2 linked regions of the Arabidopsis thaliana genome follow. The protein of the gene in region 1 interacts with the protein of each later gene in a pairwise test. Each region holds a gene or a part of one and is shown in the gene's direction. Other genes may lie near its edges.

Evidence for each region.
Region 2: the proteins of MYB106 (region 1) and AL6 interact in a two-hybrid assay, tested with the Arabidopsis thaliana proteins (one large-scale study listed by BioGRID).

The regions. Positions count from the first base shown.
Region 1 is NC_003074.8:46,311-50,071, reverse strand, and holds MYB106 (myb domain protein 106), read left to right. Parts: upstream 1-1,775; 5' UTR 1,776-1,928; coding exon 1,929-2,065; exon of another isoform or gene 2,066-2,166; coding exon of another isoform or gene 2,167-2,174; coding exon 2,175-2,299; exon of another isoform or gene 2,300-2,383; coding exon 2,384-2,513; exon of another isoform or gene 2,514-2,601; coding exon 2,602-2,954; exon of another isoform or gene 2,955-3,031; coding exon 3,032-3,453; 3' UTR 3,454-3,676; downstream 3,677-3,761. UniProt on the Arabidopsis thaliana protein: Functions as a repressor of epidermal cell outgrowth and negatively regulate trichome branch formation. Acts both as a positive and a negative regulator of cellular outgrowth. Promotes both trichome expansion and branch formation.
Region 2 is NC_003071.7:650,439-654,199, forward strand, and holds the start of AL6 (alfin-like 6), read left to right. Parts: upstream 1-2,137; 5' UTR 2,138-2,398; coding exon 2,399-2,495; intron 2,496-2,669; coding exon 2,670-2,702; intron 2,703-2,883; coding exon 2,884-3,112; intron 3,113-3,697; coding exon 3,698-3,761. Other genes in the region: LOV1 (NAC domain containing protein 35), read left to right, coding at 1-211. UniProt on the Arabidopsis thaliana protein: Histone-binding component that specifically recognizes H3 tails trimethylated on 'Lys-4' (H3K4me3), which mark transcription start sites of virtually all active genes.

The DNA.
Region 1 (3,761 bases):
GAGAATTTAAGAAACTATAATTTCTGGTCCAAAAACTGATGATGAAGAAAAGCAAATGGTTATCAGTTGACTTTAAAAGCTTTGGCCCCTCTTCTTAGCTCACTCAATCTCAGCTACGTTACGTGGATGGATGTGATTTTGACAAGTGGCAACATCATCATCTATGAAGTTTATTGAGCACTGTTTGGACCATAAAAGATGAAATCAGCCAAGACAATTAAAGAGGTGTCCCCATTGTCCTTTACATCTTTTGCAGCCAGTATGATTTAGTTTTTCCAAAATTCAATTTTGTTTTTATTGGTACAATTCGTTGGGCCTTATGATTTTGTCTTATGGTTTATCTTTGTGTTGATGAAGATACTTTCTTCTCTTCCTAGAAGCTTGGAGCCCACCTCAATAAATCCTTTCTTTGCTACCATGGCACACACTAGGATACTCTTTTCTTTGTTTGGTCTGGTAAAATCTCTTTAATGTCACCGTCACCGCCATTACTCGTCTACCTTTCTTGGCAGCCAAAGTTACCTTTGTCGACAACATTTGATCACCTGTAAACTATCCAAACCATGTATGCCACTAAAATTTTGCATAATGGTCAGTAAGTAACAAATTATACAATTCTGATTATGGTCAAATTTTACCTTTTGTGGTATGCTACTAGTTAAAGGGTAACCAAATAGTGGTTTTTACCTCATCAAGTCGCTATTTTGATGGTTAAGTTTCTGTATACTTTTCATCATTCATTGTCTATGTTAGTTTATCTTTGTGAAAAAATAGATTTTGTGATGAATTGACACCAAGAACAGTGGAGCAGCCAGTGGGACTTTCATTAAATGGTAAAGGAACCAGACAAGGAAAGGTTTTTCACCTCCTTTCTTCTTGCTCCCACCACATTAGTGTTTCCTCTCTTCATTTATAAGGGTTCCAAATTTTTACAATGGTTGAAACTCAGTGTTTACCGCGGTCATAGTTTTCTGATACTTTAGAGACAGTGACTATTAGTGTAAAAATGTGTTACCATAAAACTATTGTTGCTTCCACAGGGAGAATTATACCATTTGCAGAGCAATGACTAATTGAATAAACAACAAGTCTAAGCTAATGACATCATTGACAACCAATTAATTACTTGCAACTACTTTGCATTTTCCCTTTTTTTTCCTTCTATAATCAGGGTTTATGAATCATTAAGACTTTTTGCTCTAAGTTACTCCAAATATCATTAATCCTCTGTGTCTGATTTGCTTTTCCCATTATAGTGCCAGCTTCCACTTCTTCACCGCCATCTAACAGCATTTACTATTGTGGAGTTTCTACAAAAAGCTAACTAAAATGTGAAACGAAGAAATCAATAAACACGTTTCCATAAAGTAGTGTAACTTATTAGGGTAACTAGTTGTAGGCAAGACCGTAAGTAAGACAAAACAATAAGAACTTTGTAGCTTTCAAGAAACCATCACTCAATAGGATACCTGTAATAAGAAACCTTGAGCATCTTTTAGACCCTAGTGTAAGATAATTGAGTTTTAGTGAGAAGTGTTTAAAACTTGTAACTAGCTTAAATGGGTTTAGTGCATTTGGGGACTGTCGACAGCGAACCTTGACGCGAGAAAAATGCGGGAAAGTAACAAGAATGGTTTAAATGTCAAAACTGTTAAAGGACCACAAAGTTTGTTTAAGGCTAATGAGAAAAACATTCTTCTCAATGACATTATCCTAAGTTGCAGGGTTATCAAAGTGAGAGCTATTGATAGATGTTGACCTTAAAATTTACTCCAGGTTCTGAAATTCACTGTTTTACTTTTGTGTTGAGAGGTACAATTTCAAGGTAAAGATGGCTACAGTAATTGGGTGCTCTGTTGAGTCTTTAAAAGGAAATCAAGGTGTTGGAGCCACAAAGGTAATAATATCTCTCGACCCCATCCAATTGAATGCCAATCCATGTCAGAGACCGGGAAAAGGGGCGCTTACAGAACCTAAACAGAGACATCTTCTGTTGTGTTTCTCCATCTATATATCAGAGTGACGCCAAGAGAGCAGCTTTTGTGATCATACTGATCATGATCATGTAATGACAACTATCTCATACACTAGGTTATTAAACCGTGGATCAGATTGAAGCTAGCTTTTTCTTCAGTAGATTAGACTAATAACTTGTGTGGGAAAACAATGGGCAGATCGCCATGTTGTGATAAGGCCGGGTTGAAGAAAGGGCCTTGGACTCCAGAAGAGGATCAGAAACTTTTGGCTTATATTGAAGAACATGGCCATGGAAGCTGGCGTTCTTTGCCTGAGAAAGCCGGTAACTTGCTCGCTCTTTTCTCTTCAACAAAACCACACATTTTCTTCTAGCTCTATTCAAAGCTTTGCTTCAAACTCCTTATAGGTCTCCAAAGGTGTGGAAAGAGTTGCAGACTCAGATGGACTAACTACCTAAGACCTGACATCAAGAGAGGCAAATTCACTGTACAAGAAGAACAAACCATCATTCAACTCCACGCTCTCCTCGGAAACAGGTGACTCAATCACAATCTCTGCTTTCAAACCAAATAACCAAGTGATTGCTTTGAAAGCAAATTGATCGTCGTCCTTTAAATGTCATAGGTGGTCAGCGATTGCAACTCATTTACCAAAGAGGACAGACAACGAGATCAAGAACTACTGGAACACACACTTGAAGAAACGTCTGATCAAAATGGGGATAGATCCAGTGACTCACAAGCACAAAAACGAGACTCTTTCGTCTTCCACAGGACAATCAAAGAACGCAGCCACGCTTAGTCATATGGCTCAATGGGAGAGTGCAAGACTCGAAGCTGAAGCAAGGCTAGCTAGAGAATCAAAGCTTCTCCATTTACAGCATTACCAAAACAATAACAACCTTAACAAATCAGCAGCTCCTCAACAACATTGCTTCACTCAAAAAACATCAACAAACTGGACTAAACCAAACCAAGGTAAGGGACACATCGTCTTAAAAAAAACTCTCAACTTTGATTGGTTTTGGTAACGTATCAATGGAAAATTGTGACAGGAAACGGAGACCAACAGCTTGAATCTCCGACATCGACGGTGACATTCTCTGAGAATCTTCTGATGCCTTTAGGAATCCCTACGGATAGCAGCAGAAATAGAAACAATAACAACAATGAGTCCTCGGCGATGATTGAATTGGCCGTATCTTCGTCAACCTCCTCCGATGTGAGTCTGGTCAAAGAACATGAACACGACTGGATTAGGCAGATCAACTGTGGTAGTGGAGGAATAGGAGAAGGATTCACGAGTCTATTGATCGGTGATTCGGTCGGCCGGGGTTTACCCACCGGGAAAAACGAAGCGACGGCGGGCGTGGGGAATGAGAGTGAGTATAACTACTATGAGGATAACAAGAATTACTGGAATAGCATTCTCAACTTGGTTGATTCTTCACCGTCCGATTCCGCGACGATGTTCTGATCTAAGGGTCTTCAACCAAACATTTTTAATTCTCAGATTGTTTTTTAAATGTCGATAGCTTTCCAATACTTTTTACTTATCTTTATTTTCTTTATAAACTATTATATATATATATATATATATATATATGGGATGAAAATGAGCTTAATTTTAGTATTCGTTTTTGCAGAATTGCATGTAGCAAACCTGCAAATCCAATTTACAATTTATATATTATGCTTTTATGTTGTTGGTATACAGTTTGTTAGAAAAATATTTTAAGTGATAACGTCGTTGTCATTTGGCCAAATACATAAACCATAATAAGG
Region 2 (3,761 bases), on another chromosome or scaffold:
TCATACTCAACAACAAAATGCTAACGCAAACGCATTACAATTGGTGGCTGCGGCGACTACAGCGACAACGCTAATGCCTCAAACTCAAGCGGCGTTAGCTATGAACATGATTCCTGCAGGAACGATTCCAAACAATGCTTTGTGGGATATGTGGAATCCAATAGTACCAGATGGAAACAGAGATCACTATACTAATATTCCTTTTAAGTAATTTAATTAGATCATGATTATTATCCATGACAATAATTATTAATGCTGCTTTGCCATATTTTCATACTCCTTATATATTGTTATGGCGATAGACAATGATTGATTACTGCGAGTTTATGTAATGGAACTGATTCTCAACATATATAGTCAATTAAGTAGTTTTTTTTTTCTTGTGTTAAAGTTAATTTCTTTAAGCTAGATTCAACGTAGTTAAAAAAAAAAAATTCACTGTAATATATGAATACAAAATGACTAAGGAGTGCAATCCGTATCAAAAGTTCTCAAACAAACCAAAGAAGAAATAAACTTATTGGATTAGATTTTCATGTACGAGCCCTAACCGAAACCAGACTAAAACCAAACACTAACTAAACCATAACAATAGTAACCGTAAATCCAACCTAGTGATATTTAATTTGGTCTTCATTCCATTTCAAAATTTCAAATTGAATGTTGATATTTTTTGTTGTTTATTCATCACTTATTAGAATTCATTTTGCATTGTCATTTACATGCATTAGATCCAAGATGTTTAATTTTAGTTACCTGTTAGTGCGACTTTATAGATAAACAATCCACTAACTCTTAAGAATTCAACAACTAATTTTGAGATAGAAATATATAAAGATAAAAGATGTTAGCTAGTTTTTTGTCTTTGTAAATATAAGACTAATTAGGGTTTGACAAAAAAAAAAAGCATAGGACGTGCAATATTTGGTAAGAGCAGTTGTTCCCGTGATTTTGTCAGATATGACCAGCATGAACAGTTGTATGTTGTAAGAAATCAGTTCCCTTTTTCTCAATGAGAAAAACAAATTTAAACTTGACTTAACTCTCATACTAGTCTTTTTAATCCTAATTATTAACAATCTTTAATAATATATGTAATGTGGCAAAATCCTAATATATACTGACTTGAATATGATACGAAAGTACTAATTTTAAAGTTTTTTCCCTTTCTAACCGGTCGATGTAACCGTATTTGCATGTTTTCTTAGATTATTTTAAATAATATATGTCTATCACCTATATTAGTAAGTATATATTCATAGATTATAGTTGATTTTGCCCAAAGAAAAAAGAAGATTATAGTTGATTATACCACATCATTGATATTCTGTGACGAATTAGATTACAGTTGCGGTAAACGTATTCGCTAGCTAGTACGACGTGCTTAACGCAAAAATATTCAAAGATAACGAATCCGATTAATATTGGTTCGTTTCTTAATTCTTACATCTAGAATCACACATAAAAACAATAAAATAATTAAAAATTTGATGAATTTTTTATTTTTTTGAGTGATAAAAGGCAAAATGTTTTCCGTTTTTTAGTAGCTTTCTCTTTCAAAATATCTATTTCTGGTGTATATCGTGAAAAAAACTTTCAAAATACGTGAATGTGATGATCGTTGAAAACTTCAAATCTCATTTCCCCTAGGTTACTATAAAAGCCCACTATCCTTTAATGGGCCAGGCATGCTATTTCTGTACAATACAAGATGGACCTGAATGTTTTAACTTTTAACTTTTATCTTTAAGGTCAAGTTAATTGAAAACAAAAACCAAATTTGTGGATCAATTTGGATGCCTCAGCCTACGTATAAAAACATGTTTTTTTTTCGTAATATTAATGGAAATGAATATGTTAAAAAAAAAAAATACATGTTTTTTTCGTCGACACTTTTAAAAATAAAATAAAATTTAAATAAATGTCTTTGACCAAAATAAAAATAATGTAAAATTTGGGAGTGGGGAATGTAGCTCGGAAAAAAATAGGGTATGTAGATCGGAATTAATAAATAGATTTTATATTATTACATAAACAATAATAAAATACACAATGTTGTCTTTATTTAATTAATACAAAAATAATAAAATAGACAATGTTGTCTTTATTAATATTACTTCTCAGCCCCAAAATTAATCTTTGATCGGTCCCTTTTGTTTTATCGTTTTAGGGTTTGTAGCTCCTTTCTCTTTTTTTCTTTTCTCAATTTCCCCCAAATTAAAAAAAAACTCTCTCTTTCAGAGATTTACAAATTTCATTTCTCCAAATCCGAAACCCCAAAGTGAATATTTTTCCTTCTGGGTTTCTTTTGTTTGCCTGGAAACATTTGTCTCAGATTTTGATTTTGACCGGAGTACTCATATTCTCCGGCGATTTCTCCGGCGACATCGTTTGTGAAATGGAGGGAATTACTCATCCAATACCTCGTACTGTTGAAGAGGTCTTTAGCGACTTCAGAGGTCGACGAGCTGGTCTTATTAAAGCTCTCACTAATGGTCAGTTTTGGTCTGATTCTTGTTTCTCACTTGCGAATCAGAATGATAAGTATCTACAGAGTTACGATTTTGTGGCATTTGGGTTTTTCATTTGTTAAAAAAGAAGAACTTTTTTTATTTTGGGTTTCTTTTGTGAGATTTGACGATTCTGGGTTTTGTGTTTTGTTTATGCAGATATGGTGAAGTTTTACCAAACGTGTGATCCTGGTGAGTTATTTCTTCACAACTTTTAAAAAATTAGTCTTGCTTAGCTTCTATAGTTTCTAGTGAAATGTTTTGTTGAAGTTGTTGAGCTTGTATGTTGTTGAATTGTGTTGGTTAAAGATTGAGTTAGTTAGTCCTCCTCTGTGTGGTTTTTCTTTAAGGTGTTTCATTCTTGTTTATGTAGAGAAGGAGAATTTGTGTCTCTATGGACTTCCAAATGAGACATGGGAGGTTAATCTACCCGTTGAGGAAGTTCCTCCTGAGCTTCCTGAACCAGCTTTAGGCATCAATTTCGCTAGAGACGGAATGCAAGAAAAGGACTGGGTATCTTTGGTCGCAGTTCACAGTGATTCATGGCTGCTTTCTGTTGCATTTTACTTTGGTGCACGTTTCGGATTTGGCAAGAATGAGAGGTAAGGGTCCTTCTCAAGCTCAGTGTTTTTGAGTGTTGCATCTCAATTATGACAATATTGGGTGTACTCATGTGTGGTAAGGTTATAATGATCATTCTAGCATCCTCTTGTTTTGTCTATTTGTCTGATACAACAATCTCTGTGTGGATTTTTGTAACTCACGTGATCTTATTTATAGGGTCGGTTTCTGTGTAACTCTTTTTGTAAGTGGTTCCCAGTTTCTATTTTGAAGTGACTAGAGTTATGAATCGCACCAATCTGGATCAATGTTATTGAGATAGATATATTAGTCAATAGATGTGATATGTGCCTCTAAGTCTGATTAGTACTTCTTGTATTAGTCTTGTGCAGGATCACTGTAATTAGCCTAGGTAGTTTCCACTGCATTGTACCTTTGTTGAGAGCTCAGCAACAATCACTGAATCCATTATTTGATACTGGTAGCTGACAGGTTAAACGAAAAGCTTGAGCAGAATGAGTTGTTGATTCTGAATCTCATCAAATTCTTCTCTGGCATTAGGTTTGTTTGAACAACTTAGCTATCACTTGCCTTTAAGCTTATGCCATGGACCGATTCTTTTTCAGGAAGAGGCTGTTCCAGATGATTAATGAGCTGCCAACCATTTTCGAAGTTGTGAGCGGCAATGCA